Linked DNA regions of Drosophila melanogaster. The gene in region 1 interacts genetically with each later gene. Each region holds a gene or a part of one and is shown on either strand. Other genes may lie near its edges.

Region 1 (9,030 bases):
AAATCCGAGGAAGAAACTTAAATAAAAAAAACCAACAACAACAACTCCTCCTCGCCAAACTCAAAAGCCAAAAATTGTGAAAAGGAAATCCGCAAATGCGGAAGAGACCGTCCAAACTCAGTCCAGTCCAGTCAGTCAGTCAAACGATCCGTGACTCAAGACCATTATCTTTCATTATAGCCATTGCACCGCACTTGGTTCTGCCCGATTGAGCTGTCAAAGGGCACCGGATTTGGGAAGCCAGGGAACCCAACCCATATACCCGATAAGAAACCCTCACCATGATAGAACGGGAAATTATCCAGTAAGTGTTAATCCTTATCGGTGGTTTGTCCACACATATGGCACGGATGAAATGTCACAATCAGTTGGTGCAGTTTAAGCAATATAGTTGATATGTTGAAATTAATATTTATTTACAGCTCTAAATATGTTATAATTTATAATATTTACTATTTCATTTGTTTAGTAGCTCTGGTTAAATCTATCAATATATGTAAATGCTTTTTCCAACCCAGGCAGCCTTGACTATGATTCCCTTGGCCAACAACGGGAGTACCCGAAAAAGGGGGCCAAGACCCAGTGTCAATATTTCGAGGCGCCTTGAGCCCCACCAGCATTCTCCAATATCTTATGTTGTACTATATTATGGGGTCTTGGCAAAGTCCGAGCCGAGCGCTTGAACATTGCACATGCAGCGGGCGCATACAAATAGATAAATTAAATCATTTGGGGGTTTGTCGAGACTCGACTTTGTTTCAATATTTGCCAACTCGGAGTGGCCAGCAAACGCTTCTAGCTGTTGCGAATTTCGCTACGATCGGTGCACTATATATGTATGTTCTATATTGCAGCACAACACCTGCCTCGAAGCGCATCTTCGACGTCCTCAAGGATGTCCTGCAATTTTTCGAGCTCTATGTGCGAATTCTGTTGGAGCTGTTTGTGTCGCTGGTGCAGATTGTGCTGCCCAAAAAGCAGAAGGATGTCAGCGGGGAGATAGTTTTGGTAAGAGCATTACATGTGCAAAAATAACATAATAAGTTAATACCAACTTGTATTTGCGCAGATAACCGGAACTGGGCATGGAATTGGTCGGGAGTTGGCCCTACACTATGCTTCATTGGGTAGCACAGTGGTTTGTGTGGATATCGATGGCAAAAATAATCTGCAGACGGTGGAGAAGGCCAAACGGCTCAATCTCGGCGAGGTTTACAGCTACAGGTATTAAGTATACTTACTAAATGTTTAAATAAATAATAACATTATGTTCAACATTGGCAGCTGCGATGTTTCCAAGCGCGATGAGGTTACGGCACTGGCGGATCGGATCAAGTCGGATGTTGGATGCATATCGGTGCTGGTTAATAATGTGGGCATAATGCCAACGCATCCCATTCTGCAGCAATCGGCCGAGGAAATCCAGCGGGTCTTCGACGTGAACGTGTTCTCGCAGTTCTGGACCATCCAGGCCTTCTTGCCGCACATGCAGGAGAAGTGTCGTGGCCACATCATTTGCATGTCCTCCATTGCCGGCTTGGTGGGCATCTCCAACCTGGTGCCCTATTGTGCCACCAAATTCGCTGTACGCGGTCTGATGGAGGCACTGCATGCCGAATTACGACAGGGACCTTTCAGGGATCTGGTAGAATAACCATGTGAATGTGCTAGATTATGTGATCCATGTGTGAATCCATTTACAGATTCGAACCACCACCATCTTTCCCTATATGACCAACACTGGCCTCTGCAAGCATCCCAAGGTGAAGTTCCCATCGATCCTGGGCCTGCTCGATCCCAAGCAGGTGGCCAAAAGGATCGTGGAGGCTCATCGCACCGACCTCATGGAGGTAACCATCCCGAGCTGCCTCCTCTACATCAACAACTGGACGCGACTCCTGCCCGATCATTGCGGCCTGATGCTTAAGGACTTTATCGACAGCGGTGTGGAGTCGGATTTGATTTAGTTTACCTTCTATATTCATATATTAGATCTTAGATCGAACTACAATATGTTGCAGTACAATAAACTTACTATTGGAGTATGCATTAAAATAAAGCTATAGAGATTTTCAGCTTGGTACAAAGTAAGTGCACAGTTTACCATTTTGATCATTATCAAAAAATTATTTGATTTATTTTGTATTCTAACTTATAATTTAACATCTATGCATATAAGCCAAGTATTTATTAGTTTGGGCAGATTAGATGAATAACATCCTCTCAGTTTATAATGTTTTAAAATTACGTACAACAAAGAAAATTACTTTAATGAATTTCATTAGTTCGTTATTATTGGAGTTACCTGTTGCATTGAAATCGATACATAATCGATAATCGATACATCTGGCTATAGCTAAATTTACCTGCACTGTCAACTCCACTGCAAATCAGCTGTGTGATGAAAACAAAAGGCGATGGCTTGCGAAGTAAAACACTGCGGAGAAATCCGTGATTTTAAGAAAGTCCAAGAATACTTTGGACTCGGACATGGTAAGATAAGACAAGTCTCTGCAGCAAGTATTCATAGCTAAACCGATCCGTGCAGATGACAACTGGTTAAACGCGATAAACCATGCCATTTCACCAACTGGGGAACTGATTGCCATGGCGCAGGGTGAAAAGTTGGCATTCCTCAGCACCTGCTGGAGCAGCCATGGCAATGGCAACACCTACGTTCTTGGCTGGTGCGGCGAGCTGGAGGATCCCAACCAAATCGTGACTAGCCTCACCTGCTTGCCGATGACTCAGAACAAAAGCACCGATGGAGCCATCGAATGGACCTGCGTGGCAGTTGGCCTGTGCTCTGGCATGGTTACCTTCTACACGGACTCGGGTGTAAAACTCTTCTCGCAATGGTTAGTTGTGGAATTAAATGTATCTACGGCATTAACCATCTATATTTTTCAAGTTGCCAAGAGGATCCAGTAATTGGAGTCAAGCTGCAGTCCGCTCCGCGACATTCTGAGGCAGATTCACTGCTCTACATCATCTATCCTCGCTGCCTGTGCTTCATCCAGGGCCAGGACATTTTGCCCACGCTGAACAATTGCCGGCACAATGTGCAAAGAGGTGCATTGGAGCGTAGTTCGTATCCCACTGCTGATGTGGTGCCATTCCAGAAGTATAAGTTCAAGCAAGAACGAGAGGCCGTCATTAATGATGCTGCCATCTCTACCACCCAGCGACCTCCCACATACGACTACATTGTTCAGCAGACCATCGGTCTCGGTTATTTCGCCAAGGTGCACGCCACGCCGCCGAGGAGCTCACAGGTTCTGGCCGCCGGAGCAGAACCCTATTTGGGCTTCTTTCAGGCGGAGGAGGGTTATAAAACGATGTCGCTGGGTGAGGTTGCCAAAGACGTAATCGGAATAGCTTACAAGAACCTGCTGGGCGGAATCTTTCGACGCGCTCCAGAGCCCCTGCCATCGCCCGAGGAATCACCACTGCCGGTGCCCACGAAAGAAGCACCGATGCGGATTCGCTGTCGTCTATATGACGGCAAGAGAGATGGACTGACCTTGTCTGTGGCACCTGGTGGACGCCTGGCTGTCGTTACCGATAATCTCGACCGTGTAATGTTGGTGGATACGCACCAGGCTATTATCTTGCGTGTTTGGAAGGGCTATCGAGATGCACAGTGCGCATTCGTGCCAGTTAAAGAAAAATCCGTTCGCGGTATCAAAACGCACAAGCGAAAGGCTTTGTTCCTGGTGATCTACGCTCCTCGAATGGGCTGCCTGGACATATGGGCTTTGCAAAACGGACCCAAGGTGGCTGCATTCAATGTTTCGAAGAGCGGGCAACTTATGTACAACAATCATAGTCCCCTAGGCTCAGGCGGCAGCAGTGGATCTGGTAATAGCAGTAGTCAGTCAAGAAAATCTTTAGCCATCAATCATTGCTTGTTCCTGGACCCCAGCGATGGCAGCCTGAAGGAGATACACATTCCTTTTCACTACGCGCTCAGCGAGACCAGCTCCCAGACATCACGGGATATCCATATGCTGAGGCGCCTCAGAAACCAGCTCAGAACCATAAACCATGGCCAAGCCAAAGATGAAGCGCTGCAGGAGATTGGCGAACTGGCAAGTGAACTGCAGACGTTAGAGGTGCGACAACAGTGTCTGGAGATGTTGCTTAAGAGCAAGAAGCTGCAGCCACAGGTGTTTCAATCCATCATTAATGCCTTCATAAAGAAACCTCTTTCTGAATCAACGGGCTCCGAGGAGTTTGTCAACCAAATCGAGAACTATAAACGCTTGACTGATCTCTACTTGGCCCTAAGTCAAGCCAATCAGCGTGAAGACAACGAGCCACCCGTAGAATACTTGGAGCTTTCCGATGCTGATCTTGTCACCATTAACAAGTTGGTTCTGCTCCTGGACGATGGCACCGAGAAGGATAAACCCGCCGCCACTCGTGAAGTGAGCTTCAAGTTGCAGGCGGAGCACAAGACCGAAGAATTTGTCGATTACCTGAGCATCTTTAACATCGATAGTCCGGATGGGATAAGTCTACTTCCGGAGAAGTCAGATAAGTTTGGCGCCGTAAGCATCGATCTCTTTAGTCAGTTCTTTGCCCAAGGTCTATGCTTTGGCCAATTCAAGCAGTGGATCAATCAGGCGTGTTTGCCCAGCAGAGATTTGCTTAAATTGATTATTTGGTTTTGGCTTGAGAAGCCCTTTAAGTACAACAACTGGTGAGAAAAACATATTTTATAAATTCCGTTCTCAATTTATGTGCAATCTACTTTTCTTACTTTAGTGATGAAGTAGTGGAGGACATGTCCAGAATTGCTGCTATGGTGCAGACCATTTGTGATCTGGCTGGTGAACACATCCATGACTATGCCTACAATGCCATTTCACCGTGGTGGCAGGAAGTTCGGGAACTTCTCTTGGAGAGTAAACAATTTTCGGGCTTGCTGGTGGCCATTGTATGCAAAACGGTAGCGACTAATTTGTGGCGAAACAGAAAAGAGGTAGGTCTACTCCTAGTCATTAAAATCAAAAACTCTTTTGCGAAAAACACTTTTTCCTTAGGGATCTTGTGATGAATCCTCGCAGAACGAAGATGATGAGCGCTGGGAGCGTATCTCCCACGATGAGGCTCAGTGGGGATTGCTCACTGGCAAGCTAGAGGATGTGGCCGTGCTAGGAGCCATACTAAGGTAAGTGCCAAATCAATCGTTCCACTTAGCTCCTTTATGAACCACTGCTTCCTTCGCAGTAAGCCTCTCATCTGCCGGGATCCTGTTGGTCCAGAGATGTCCTACGAGCCACCGGACTGCAGTCTCAAAAGCATTGTGAGCAGTGGCAAAGGCATCGTCACCGAACTGACAGCCAAGTGGCTGATCAGTGCACAATTGCATCCGAGTAAAGTTTTGGAGATATCGCCTCCCGAAAACGAGTTAGACGACGAGAGCAAAGTTAAGATAAAGGATGAGCCTACCAAGGAGTCAGTCGATGAAGACGCGGAATCAGAAGAGGATTTGGAAATGGCAAAGGAAGTGTACGCGGCGAGTAAAGAAGCCCATGAACCTATTCTTGAAAGATTGGCTCTGCTGCGTGCGCATTTTCCCTTCAGCTTGGAATCGGGCGTCCTCTTAAGTCTCATGTCGTGGCAGTACATGGTCCAGTGGAGCAAGCAGCTCTCATCGCTGGACCACCTAAAGGCAGCATTACTTTGTTTAAACCAATTCCGTACACCTGACTGGGCCCTGAAGCATGGAATATGTTGCATGCTGTGGAATGCCACCCTGAAGTTTCCTCTACAGGCGGCGGCGAAGCTTATTCAAAAAGTGGGACGCCTGCCAGTGGACAAGATGTGCCAGCAAGATCTCGAGATGTCTGCGGGTAAAGTGCCAGAGTTTCTAGAACTCAGCCTCGAATTCCTGCAGCATTTCACCGCTTCCATGGAGCACGATAAGCGTGAACTGCACTTCGAGCAGTCGCTCAGCGAAGGAGCCCTGCCATTGCAGTTTCTGGCTCTCCAGCAGCACCATGCCATGCCGCAGCTGCTCCGTCTTCAAACAGAACTGTGCAGCGTGCTGCACTTCGTTTCCTTTTTCCAGCTGCGCATTCCAAAACCACTGACCACGCTTTTTGACTCCATGAGCAACAAAGCTCTGCTGGCGGACATCAATAAGGAACTGCCTTATGTTTTGCCTGCACCAGATCTTGTCCTGCAACAGCAGCGCACTGAGTTCCTGTGTCGCCTTGTCACCGCTACCATGGATCTGATTAGAGAGGATTTGGAGCAGCTGTACATTCTCGATCATGTTTTCTACATGGGCAAGATCTGTGCCTTAGCCGACAGTTGGGAGGTCGATAAACTTCCTATCCTACGACGGCAGGTAAGAATGTACATACATATATGATCCCAGAATTCCTAATCTAGGAACCCATGAACACACATGACAGGGAGCTTACAATCCCTTTTGCCTTTCAACATCAGTTCGTTAGTTTGCTCCGTAGAGAGCACAACAGAGGAAACACAATGGAATAGAAAATATATTCCAAATATTTTTCCCTCCTCCAGGTGGTGGAACTGTACGCTTTTGGGTATGATGCGGAGGCTCAAGTGTTGCTCCAGGACATCAGCGATGACGAGGAGCTGGGCCGACTGCTGCTGGAGATCGCTGGCCGTAGACTTAATCTTTACGCACAGAGCTCGCAGTCCACGTTCCTGAAGATTGCCTCTGTTGGCCACCAGTTGCTGGCCTACCTAGACAACCTGGTAAGTGCTGCAAGCGCATATATCATTCGCAGTACTGATCCATTTCTCACGCCGCTTACGCAGAAGGAACCGATGACGGAGAACAACATTCAGATCGCGGCCACCAAGCCCGACGAGATCGATGTGGCTGCCCTGGACAGGCTGTTGTCGCATGCCTACAAATACCTTTGCCGGCGCGAGTCCAAGCAGCTGCCCATCATTGGCCAGATGTACAACGCCGTGCGTATCCTGCAGAATTAGGAGTGAGGATGACACATAAACACTTGGTTATTTTACATTTCTCTCATGATTTTTATGGATTCAAGAATGAACCCAATATTGATTGTTAAAGCACCACATGCGGTCCCATTAATTGTCTTATACTTATCAACCTAGTAGCGATTTAAACAACCTACGAAAAGCATCATATTAATTACTTTCAAGAAAAAGGATACTAAGATCTGCACCGATAGGAGGATGTATTCAACACGAATTTGATGTGAAGCTTATGCCTACAAGGATTATGAACATGTATATTTAATAAAATAAAAAAAAAAATTTTAATATTCTTTTACTAAATTTAAGGGATACCAAAAGATAAAATAACAATACTTTCTTTATTGATGCCCAACGTAATTTAATTTATATTTGAGCAGGGATCCAAGCGGGTCTTTGAACTTCGTGCCTTGGGCGCTGCCTCCAAGTTCTCCGCCTGTATTCGTCCGATTGCCTCCGGCGTGGGCAATCTCTCCGGCATCATGGTGGCGTGCACTTTGAGATGAGTGTAGACGGCAATGTAGCTCTGGCTGGTGTCCAGTTCGATGGGTGGACTCTGCTCTATGCGGCCAGGCAGGGCAAAGTGCTTGCCAAGAATGGGTTCCTTGAGAGATCGGGCCAGAATTTTTTGCAGTCCATCGCGGTCGGTGTCCAACTGCTCGCTGTTGAAACTTGAATTCATTGAGAATTAATTGAATCTAAGGATTTTGAATTCCAATGTGTAGTCCCTGGAGTTTTATCCGAACAAAAGATACGACGACCCGAGTTGCACTAGGTTAGTGGCACTGACTCCGACTAATCGAAAAACAACAGTTCCTCCTTCATGGCAACAAGTAGTTCAGTTTGGCATACCTTTCGTTTGCGAGGAGCCACCTCGGTTATGACTTATTTATTATTCGAGGCAGAAAGTTGATTCTCTGGTTTGTTCAATTTGGGAACTCGGCTGGGACACGCAAGGCCAAGAAGCAAAGAACTTGTTTCGTGGGTGAAGTTTATCATGTTGATAAACATGTAGAATAATGAGGAATGTCGTTAGAGACAGTTTCATGTGGTTCCTTAATAGTCGCAGGATTGCTTTTATAGGCATACAGTAAACTCACGATAGTGCTGACCTGACCATCTATTTTCTTCGTTAAATAAGTACGCTCAAATAGAATACGTTTGTATATAGATGTGTATTGGGCTTAGCTACAGAATGGGTTATAGAGGTTGAACAATCACTTAAGGGTTTACTAGGCTAGGGTCTCTACAGGCAGCGGGCAATCAGTTCGTTGATGGCAGTGCCACGATCGCCGTACTCGCCACCGCGTTTGTACGAGACGGATACCTTCTTTTGCCAACCATTGCTGGGACTGGACAACTGGAAAAAACCAAATGGCGGTAATAGTATAGTTTTAAGAATTGCAAAAGAGAAGTTGTTAACCAACCGTGAAGGCGCACAGAAACTCATTTACAGCGGCGAAGTTTGGACCCACTGTGCAAATTTCGTGGATTATATCCTCCAGACAGATGACACCCTTGTCGCCCAGCTGTTGCTCCACCATGGTGTTCGACTGGATGGCCGTCTTCTTGCCGTCGATGCGGGCGAAGCCCTTCTTGAAGACCAGCTCGCGAATGGAGCTCAGCGAGGGATTGCCGTAGACTACAAAGGGTTCGATAACGCGCAGCAGCAACTGGTTCTCCTTGGTGTTCTCCATGAAGACGGCGTTGTGGCGCGAGCCCATGCGCAGGGTTCGGAATATATCCGCGGTGGTCTTGTCGAAGATCTTCTTGCCCGCATGGCGCATCACGAAGAGCAGTTTGGGATTGGAATCGTCGGCAGCTTTGGCACTTTGTTCGGTGACATTGGTGCGCAGAATGGTTTGCTTGATCCGCTTGGACGTGCGCTCTGCTTTCAGGTAGCCCATTACGAAGGATTCGGCACGGCGGAATTTGTGGTGATTCTTGGTGGCGGTTCTCTTTTTGATGCGGTCATTTCTTTTCTGCGTAACAACAGATTCATCCTGCAGAATTCTCCTCTTGCGATGCTTT
Region 2 (6,849 bases), on another chromosome or scaffold:
TGGGCCGTGTCTGTGGCCTGTGGGTGGGCACAAACAGCGGCCCGATTATGGCGGGGTTAGCAGCAATTAGCGACCGGGGTCAGACGACCTCGGCCTGCAGAAACCAATAAGTTATATAACGATAGACGGACTGGTAGATCGAGCAAGAAGCTGGACAAGCTTATCATTGCAGAGCGCTGTGTCACTCCTCAGCTATGAATCTCTAGAACGATAAGATGACGTTGAACCTTCTACTCGTGGGATGGCAGTCCGACACGCGATTGCGGAAGGGAAACCTTTCCGGATCGTTAACATTTGCCCAGCTGCGGTTAAAACCCTCTACTATATTGAATACGCCTCGGATATCGAAATTATCCCAAGACTTCAAAGGGAACTCACCTCGCTTGGCGACTTCGAAGACATACTACTACTGCTTGTCTTGGGGAAATCCGTCCTGGTGTTCCTGCCGATTCCTGCTCCAAGTCCTGGCTGCTCCGCTCGCTGGCTATCTGTTCCGTTTCCTCCGTGGCCAAAGCTCTGCGTAAAGTCTGCTTTTAAGTAAATGTTATTAGAAAAATAAATATCTGAGTGGATAGTGTGACCCTCCGGGCAGTGTTGAAAACGATTCGTGCATCGCACGTACAAATTGTGAGCGAAACTAAAAAATACCGCACTCAGCTGTTCCGCGTGTAGGTATTTTTGAGTTTTCCGCTTTGAACGCCGGTAAATAGTTTAATTTCAGCGGAGTACAATAATTGTTTTAAAAATTTGTCAATCCAATTTGGGTTGACAAGTTATACTGACGACAGTTTAGAAAAGTTGTTGTGGTCCCTAGAATGGATGTGTTTTTTTTAGATGTGTTTAGTACAAACAGCTGATTCAACACAGTATTTTCGATGTACAGTAGATACCCGTAAGAAAGAATAGGACAAACAATTAGCTTATTTTTAAGCTATGAAATATATGTATTTTGCCAGTTTTTTAAGCAAAGATGCTTTTTTTATTTAAATTTGGCTACATTTAATTCTATATCTATTTTAAAAGCTGTATCTCGTATTGAATACTCACTGTTACATTAATATTTCGTTATACTTAATTAAAGTCTACTGTAAGCGTGCAGCACTGTTTGCAACCATAATAAAAACAACGGAAAAAGTGTTTATTGCAATTTTAAAAGAGAGCAGTAAAGTTTATCTCATCTTTGGAGGCGCGATGGAGAGCGGATTTGATAAGAGCTGATAAGACGCAGCCAGCTTCGCAAGCACCTTTAAAAGCATGCTCAGTACCAAATCGCCTTCCATTGGGATTGGGTATCAACTCAAAGCGGATCCAGAATGCATTTCGGAGTCTTGGGAAGCGGTATCATTGGTCTTACGACCGCCTTAGAACTCCAGAAGGAGTTTCCCACAGCAAGGGTTTCCGTGATTGCGGATCGGTTTAACGAGGACACCGTCAGCTATGTGGCGGCTGGAATTTTCCGACCTGGAACCAGCTTTATGGGCCCCACCCAGAAAATTACGCAGTGAGAATCTGTTTGGGATTCAAACACACCTGTTGTGCATCTAACGACTTTTCTTTTCATCGTAGACAATGGATGACCGATGCCTTCAACTACTGGGATGAGCTGCGTCGCTCCAAGGAGGCTCCTCTGGCGGGCGTGTGCCAATTATCCGGCTATATTTACTCCCGCACCTCCCCCTCCATCGTACGGGTACGTTGCCGGGCAGTCGACAATCAGTGATTCTTATCTTCATCGGCTTAATTCGATTAACTTTGTTGTTGGCTGCCTTAGAACCACTTTATTGAGAAACTATTGCCCGTCTACCGAAGAGCCACCGAGGAGGAACTGAGGCTATGCAACGGCGGCTGGAAGTACGGATCCTTCTTCACCACATGCCTAACGGAAAGCCGCCTCTTCTTGCCCTATGCCACTAAAAAGTGAGTAGCTGTTTTATGATATGAAAGAGAAACAATTTGAAAATAATCGTAAATATTAACATATTGTAGATTCCTGGAGAACGGAGGAGAGGTTGTCCGTCAGCATGTGAACAGCTTTTTCGAAGTGCCGCAGAACATTGACTTGCTCCTTAACTGCACCGGAATGGGAGCCAAGGAGTTGTGTGGGGACCAGCACTTGGTTCCCATTCGGGGTCAAGTGCTCAAAGTGCGTGCTCCCTGGGTAAAGACGGCTTTCTACGGCGATTACGACACCTACGTTCTTCCCGGATTTGAGACTGTGACCCTGGGAGGATGTCGCCAATTCGACAGCTACAACACCGAGTGGTGCAAATACGATAGCATGGCCATTCGAGAGCGTTGCTACGATTTGCTGCCCAGTCTCCGGAAAGCGGAGATCGTGCGGGAATGTGTTGGTCTGCGGCCACACCGCTCCGTCGTTCGGGTGGAGCCAGAACTGATCACGAATCCGGAAGGCAGGCGGCTGAAGGTAGTCCACAACTACGGCCACGGCGGCTACGGTGTGACCACGGCTCCTGGAACGGCTATGTACGCAGTTCGATTGGTACGCGATCTACTAGCGGGAAACAGTAAACTGTAGGTGGTAAAATCGTTGTTAATTGTTGGTCATTAAACTCTTTATACTCAGAATCTTTGAACCCAGATTTGATTTGGATTTTTTATTGTGCAATAAACTAATTGCAGTTCTCAAGGTTGCGATATGCGCCAGTTCCAAAGGTTTCAAGAAGGAATATTTAGAATATTTAAAGAAACAATTCTTATAAATTTTATTTACTGTTTTTATGAGTTCCTTGGTCTATATTGTTTCAGGATAAGAACATGGGTTCACAAAGTGAACGAATAAATTCGCGCCCACGAATAAATTCAAATGAACCCCTGGGCCAGTGCTCCACAAGGCTGCGGAAGTGCGAAGTGCGCATGACCGGCGCATGAATGGAAAGCTCGCCCGAAATCGCCGCGAAAGCTACGCCCACACACAGACACCCCAGGCACGGAAACCCATCGATTTTCAGCAGCAGGAAAAGCAGCAGGGAAATTGTGTGGGCAGCAGCCAGTCATCCAGTCAGTCAGTTAGCCAGCCAGTCAGCCAGGTTGAAACAGTTGAATTATGAAAACGTATACAAAACTGGCCCGTTTTCGCCGCACCAGTCAATTCGCCGCCTGAGAGCGAAGAAAAAATTGAAAATTGTGTGTCCTTTGGTGTCGACGTGTCGAGGCAAAAAGGTAGAACAGTTGGTGCGTTGCATTTGCTGAATAATTGAGCCACTGCAGCCGGAGTCAGTTCAATTCTGGCCAGACGAGTGGGTCCGCGGGCGTGTGAATAGTTGATTGGGTAACCGTAAACAACTCGACGAATCAATCGACGTGAAATCGCGGCGTATGTCAGTCCAGTGCCAAGGCTGAGTCGAGTCCTTTTCCTTATCCCTTCAGCGAAAGGAGCTGCCATTATCGATTTGTGTGTATGTGCGAGCAACAACACGGCGTACCTCTCACCCACACATCGAAAACAGCAGGATATTCTTGTGACAGCAGGATCTGCAGCAGCACCATCATAAACAGCAACTGAGATATTAGCAGCAGATACTACTGTAACCGCAATAACCTCAAGAAAGAGTAAGTTTATCTGACACATTAAGTATCCGCCATGATGGACCAAAATGGGTGAATGGGGGTACTAGTTCCAGCTAAAACCAAAATACCTGAGTTTTCGCATCAAAAACTTTGCAGTATCAGTTCCATATTGTCAAATAATGAGGCCGTTGGTTGGAATTTATTATTTTTACATTAAACTTCATTGATTTTGACATTATAAAGATTACACATCAACTTTTTAAAAGTATTTAAAAGGTATTTAATAACTCAATGTTACTTTTATAGTAGTTCCAAAAAAACTTCTGATGGATTTCAGCTTAGTGTATCATATCTTATTGACAATAGATATGGGCTATACATACATATGAATGTGGCCAAATAATACATATGTAGTTTTACAACTTCCAGGAAAGAGTTAATTGTTTATTCCCATTGATTGATAACTCGGTATTTATGCACATGCCTAATATTTACGTTTGACAACAAACCTTAAATTGAAACTTTTCCAATTGGAACCGTTAAGGCAGGATTGAGTTCTCGTTTTGGCCAATATTGGGTTTCTTATCAATAATTAAACAAGCCCGCAGCTGCCGACCGCTGAACAGCTGCCAAATCATTGGAAATTTGAAACATGAAAGAGCAGTTAAGGGGGTGGGTAATGGGGGCAGGGTCTGGCAGCCACCCCCACGCAGGGGGAAAACAACAGAAAAATCGATAATTACACGCAGTCGAGCAGATAAAAACATTTCCACACAGCGCCTGTGATAAGGGCCGTCTGCCGTTGAAGACCTCTTATTGCGGCCCCTCTTTGGTGTCTGCGTTTGGGTTTGGGTTTGGGTTTGGGTTCGGGCCCCTCCAGGATATTTCTGGGCCTGAAGAGGCTTGACAGGAGCGAAGCCTGTCCTTTTGCCAGCAAAATCCTTGACGATGACGCGCGCACTCGGTCCTTCTACACCAAGTCGTTCATCAGCAATCTGACAGCGTTTTGCCGCTGCGCAACTTCTGATTCTGGACGGGGGAAATAAGGATGAGCGGAAACGGAACCAGGAGAACCAGGCTATATACACAAATTATCGACACAATGTCGCCGCCTTCATTGCATATGGAAAACAGGCAGCCAACCATCCCGAATGGCAAACTGTAAGCCGAGACTGTTGTCACTTGCCCAAGCCAAGGCTGAAAGTTTTCAAGGCCGCACCAGCCCACCAGCCCACCAACCCGCCGTTCAGCTCTGAAATTCGCTTTGAGTTTTCCCAGTGACGTGACAGGGATAATCAAGTGGGTCCTTTCCCAAGTCAGGCCGCTAAAGCCAACCCCTCCCGCCTACTCCAAGGATTAAAAGTCAAGGGAATTGGGGGGTTATGCTTTAGAAAATATAAACGCAACTTGTTTAATCCACACGCACGCGATTCAATCACTTCCGGGCACAGAGAGAACTCCGGTTGGCCACCAGTTGGCCTTGACCGGTGTTTCATGTGCACCATCTAGCCCCACCGGTTCTTCGTGCAGCATGGACCACAAATGGAGTGTCTATGGATGACATAAAGGTTGATAATAGCACATTAGCTACTCGACCAGCTCCATGCGAATTCCGATGTTGACGCCATCGCCCACGCCGCAAAAGGCATCGGCCTTGCAGCCATTCTGTACACCCATGTTTCTTCCCGTTCCTCTGTTATGGATCATTAGCTCCTCCGGTGTATCCTGATGGATGCCGCACTTGGACTTGGATTCATTGACACCGCTGAATATCACAATGCCAGGATTGCAAAAGTTACCCTGATTGGGAGCCATCATAGGCATCTGAGATGGCTGTTCCAGTTGCCTAGGCGAATCCTTCCGCATCAGCGTAGTCATGCATATGCTAGTGTTGCTGCTACTAGTTATTATGGTCGTGGTATCTATGGTCTCAATTAGCTGACCTTCATCCTCGGAAGCAGCGATGGCCGCCTCGCTTGCTTGCTCCTGCTGAGCTTTCAAGTCGCTTTCCCTTTGCCGCTCCAGTTCGCGCTCTAGTTCCAATTGCTGCTCCTGCTCGATACGTTCCTCTTCGTGCTCCTCCTGAGCTTGAGCCTGGCATAGCTCCACATGCATTCTGGACAACTGGGCGGCATCGTATGGGCAGAAGCAGTTTAGGCTTACAACTCGATTGCCCATGTGCTGGACTGGTCGGCTGTTACGGGCTATGGGCGAGATCCCATCCGGACCTAGGAGCAAACGAAAGTGACGCAGCTGAAAGTCGCTAATGGCTAGGGATTCGGGAAAGATGAACCATTCGGTGCCCTGGTAACAGGGCGGATGGGTCAGCGAACCGCCGTAGGAATAGAATCCAGATCGAAATTGATACATCAAGTAGGATATGGGAAATGGAGAAATCTGGACACGCTTTCCAGGCTTCTGAACCAATCGCAAATTCTGCACCAGGGGATCCAGGAACGGATTGTGCGCGGATAGCTCAAAGACGTATCCGATCATCAGGAGATCATAGCTGCTGGTGCAAGTACGGGGAATACCCGATCCCGTTTTGTGCATCACCTGCATCTCAAGTGGGAACTTTCGGTGGTTGATCGTATGCTCGGATCCCTCGCTGTTGCACCAGCCCCAGTGGAAGCGCAGTTCCAGAAACGTATAGCTGGCCAGGAGATCAGCTCCACTGATAGTAGGTGCATTACCGTGGAACTGGGCACGGAGGATAAGTGTCTGACCCGTATTCTCCAGAGTGATGCTGGCGGGCAGATCATCATAGTGGTTCCAGCTCAGCAGCTCTCTTATGGCCATGCGTTGAATTTGAGATTCATCGATGTTGACTGGGCTCTGGAAGAAAGTCGCTTCCTCCACAGAACTGGAAGATGACCTGGACTTCGGCAACCAAGTATGCGGACCATGTTGCATGTCGTAACCGTATACTGGAGCAGAATTTCTTGAGCAAGATGTGTTCCCAAATTGAAGTGGAGTCCTAATCAAAAGGAGTACACGCTGATATATCTCCTTGAGTGTTTCCTGATCCGCGTGGTATGCAAATGCTCCCAACAGGCAAAGTCCAGTAGTAATCAATGGATGCTGGACCACTTGTCCCAGAATCTGACCAAATACTAGGATTATCAACTGCACCATAACGCTCAATACTGTTCCCAATGCGGTATCAAACATGTTGCCTTTTAGTAGACGCGGACTTGCATTAGAAAGCCAGTTATGGGATAAAAAGAATCTGCAAGTGCAGAAATGTCCAAACAAAAACGCGGAAACAAAATGCTCAACTCCTTTTAGATTTCCAAGTTATTTTACAAAACTTTCCGCTTC

What was found. A genetic interaction does not mean that the proteins touch.
Region 2: of Rab3-GAP (region 1) and Rab3, changing one enhances a phenotype caused by changing the other (phenotypic enhancement), as found in Drosophila melanogaster (one study listed by BioGRID).

The regions. Positions count from the first base shown.
Region 1 is NT_033779.5:12,056,544-12,065,573, reverse strand, and holds Rab3-GAP (Rab3 GTPase activating protein), read left to right. Parts: upstream 1-2,389; 5' UTR 2,390-2,417; coding exon 2,418-2,493; intron 2,494-2,548; coding exon 2,549-2,858; intron 2,859-2,911; coding exon 2,912-4,705; intron 4,706-4,770; coding exon 4,771-4,987; intron 4,988-5,048; coding exon 5,049-5,176; intron 5,177-5,235; coding exon 5,236-6,361; intron 6,362-6,546; coding exon 6,547-6,744; intron 6,745-6,807; coding exon 6,808-6,984; 3' UTR 6,985-7,270; downstream 7,271-9,030. Other genes in the region: firl (firelighter), read left to right, coding at 282-304, 855-1,008, 1,070-1,224, 1,285-1,645, 1,704-1,967; CG34164 (uncharacterized protein), read right to left, coding at 7,361-7,681; RpL7-like (ribosomal protein L7-like), read right to left, coding at 8,246-8,359, 8,427-9,030.
Region 2 is NT_033778.4:10,725,326-10,732,174, reverse strand, and holds the start of Rab3 (Rab3), read left to right. Parts: upstream 1-2,971; 5' UTR 2,972-3,570; intron 3,571-4,902; exon of another isoform or gene 4,903-5,115; coding exon of another isoform or gene 5,116-6,699; exon of another isoform or gene 6,700-6,849. Other genes in the region: Daao1 (D-amino acid oxidase 1), read left to right, coding at 1,314-1,501, 1,567-1,690, 1,772-1,917, 1,987-2,536; CAH13 (carbonic anhydrase 13), read right to left, coding at 5,116-6,699. UniProt on the Drosophila melanogaster protein: Involved in exocytosis by regulating a late step in synaptic vesicle fusion. Could play a role in neurotransmitter release by regulating membrane flow in the nerve terminal.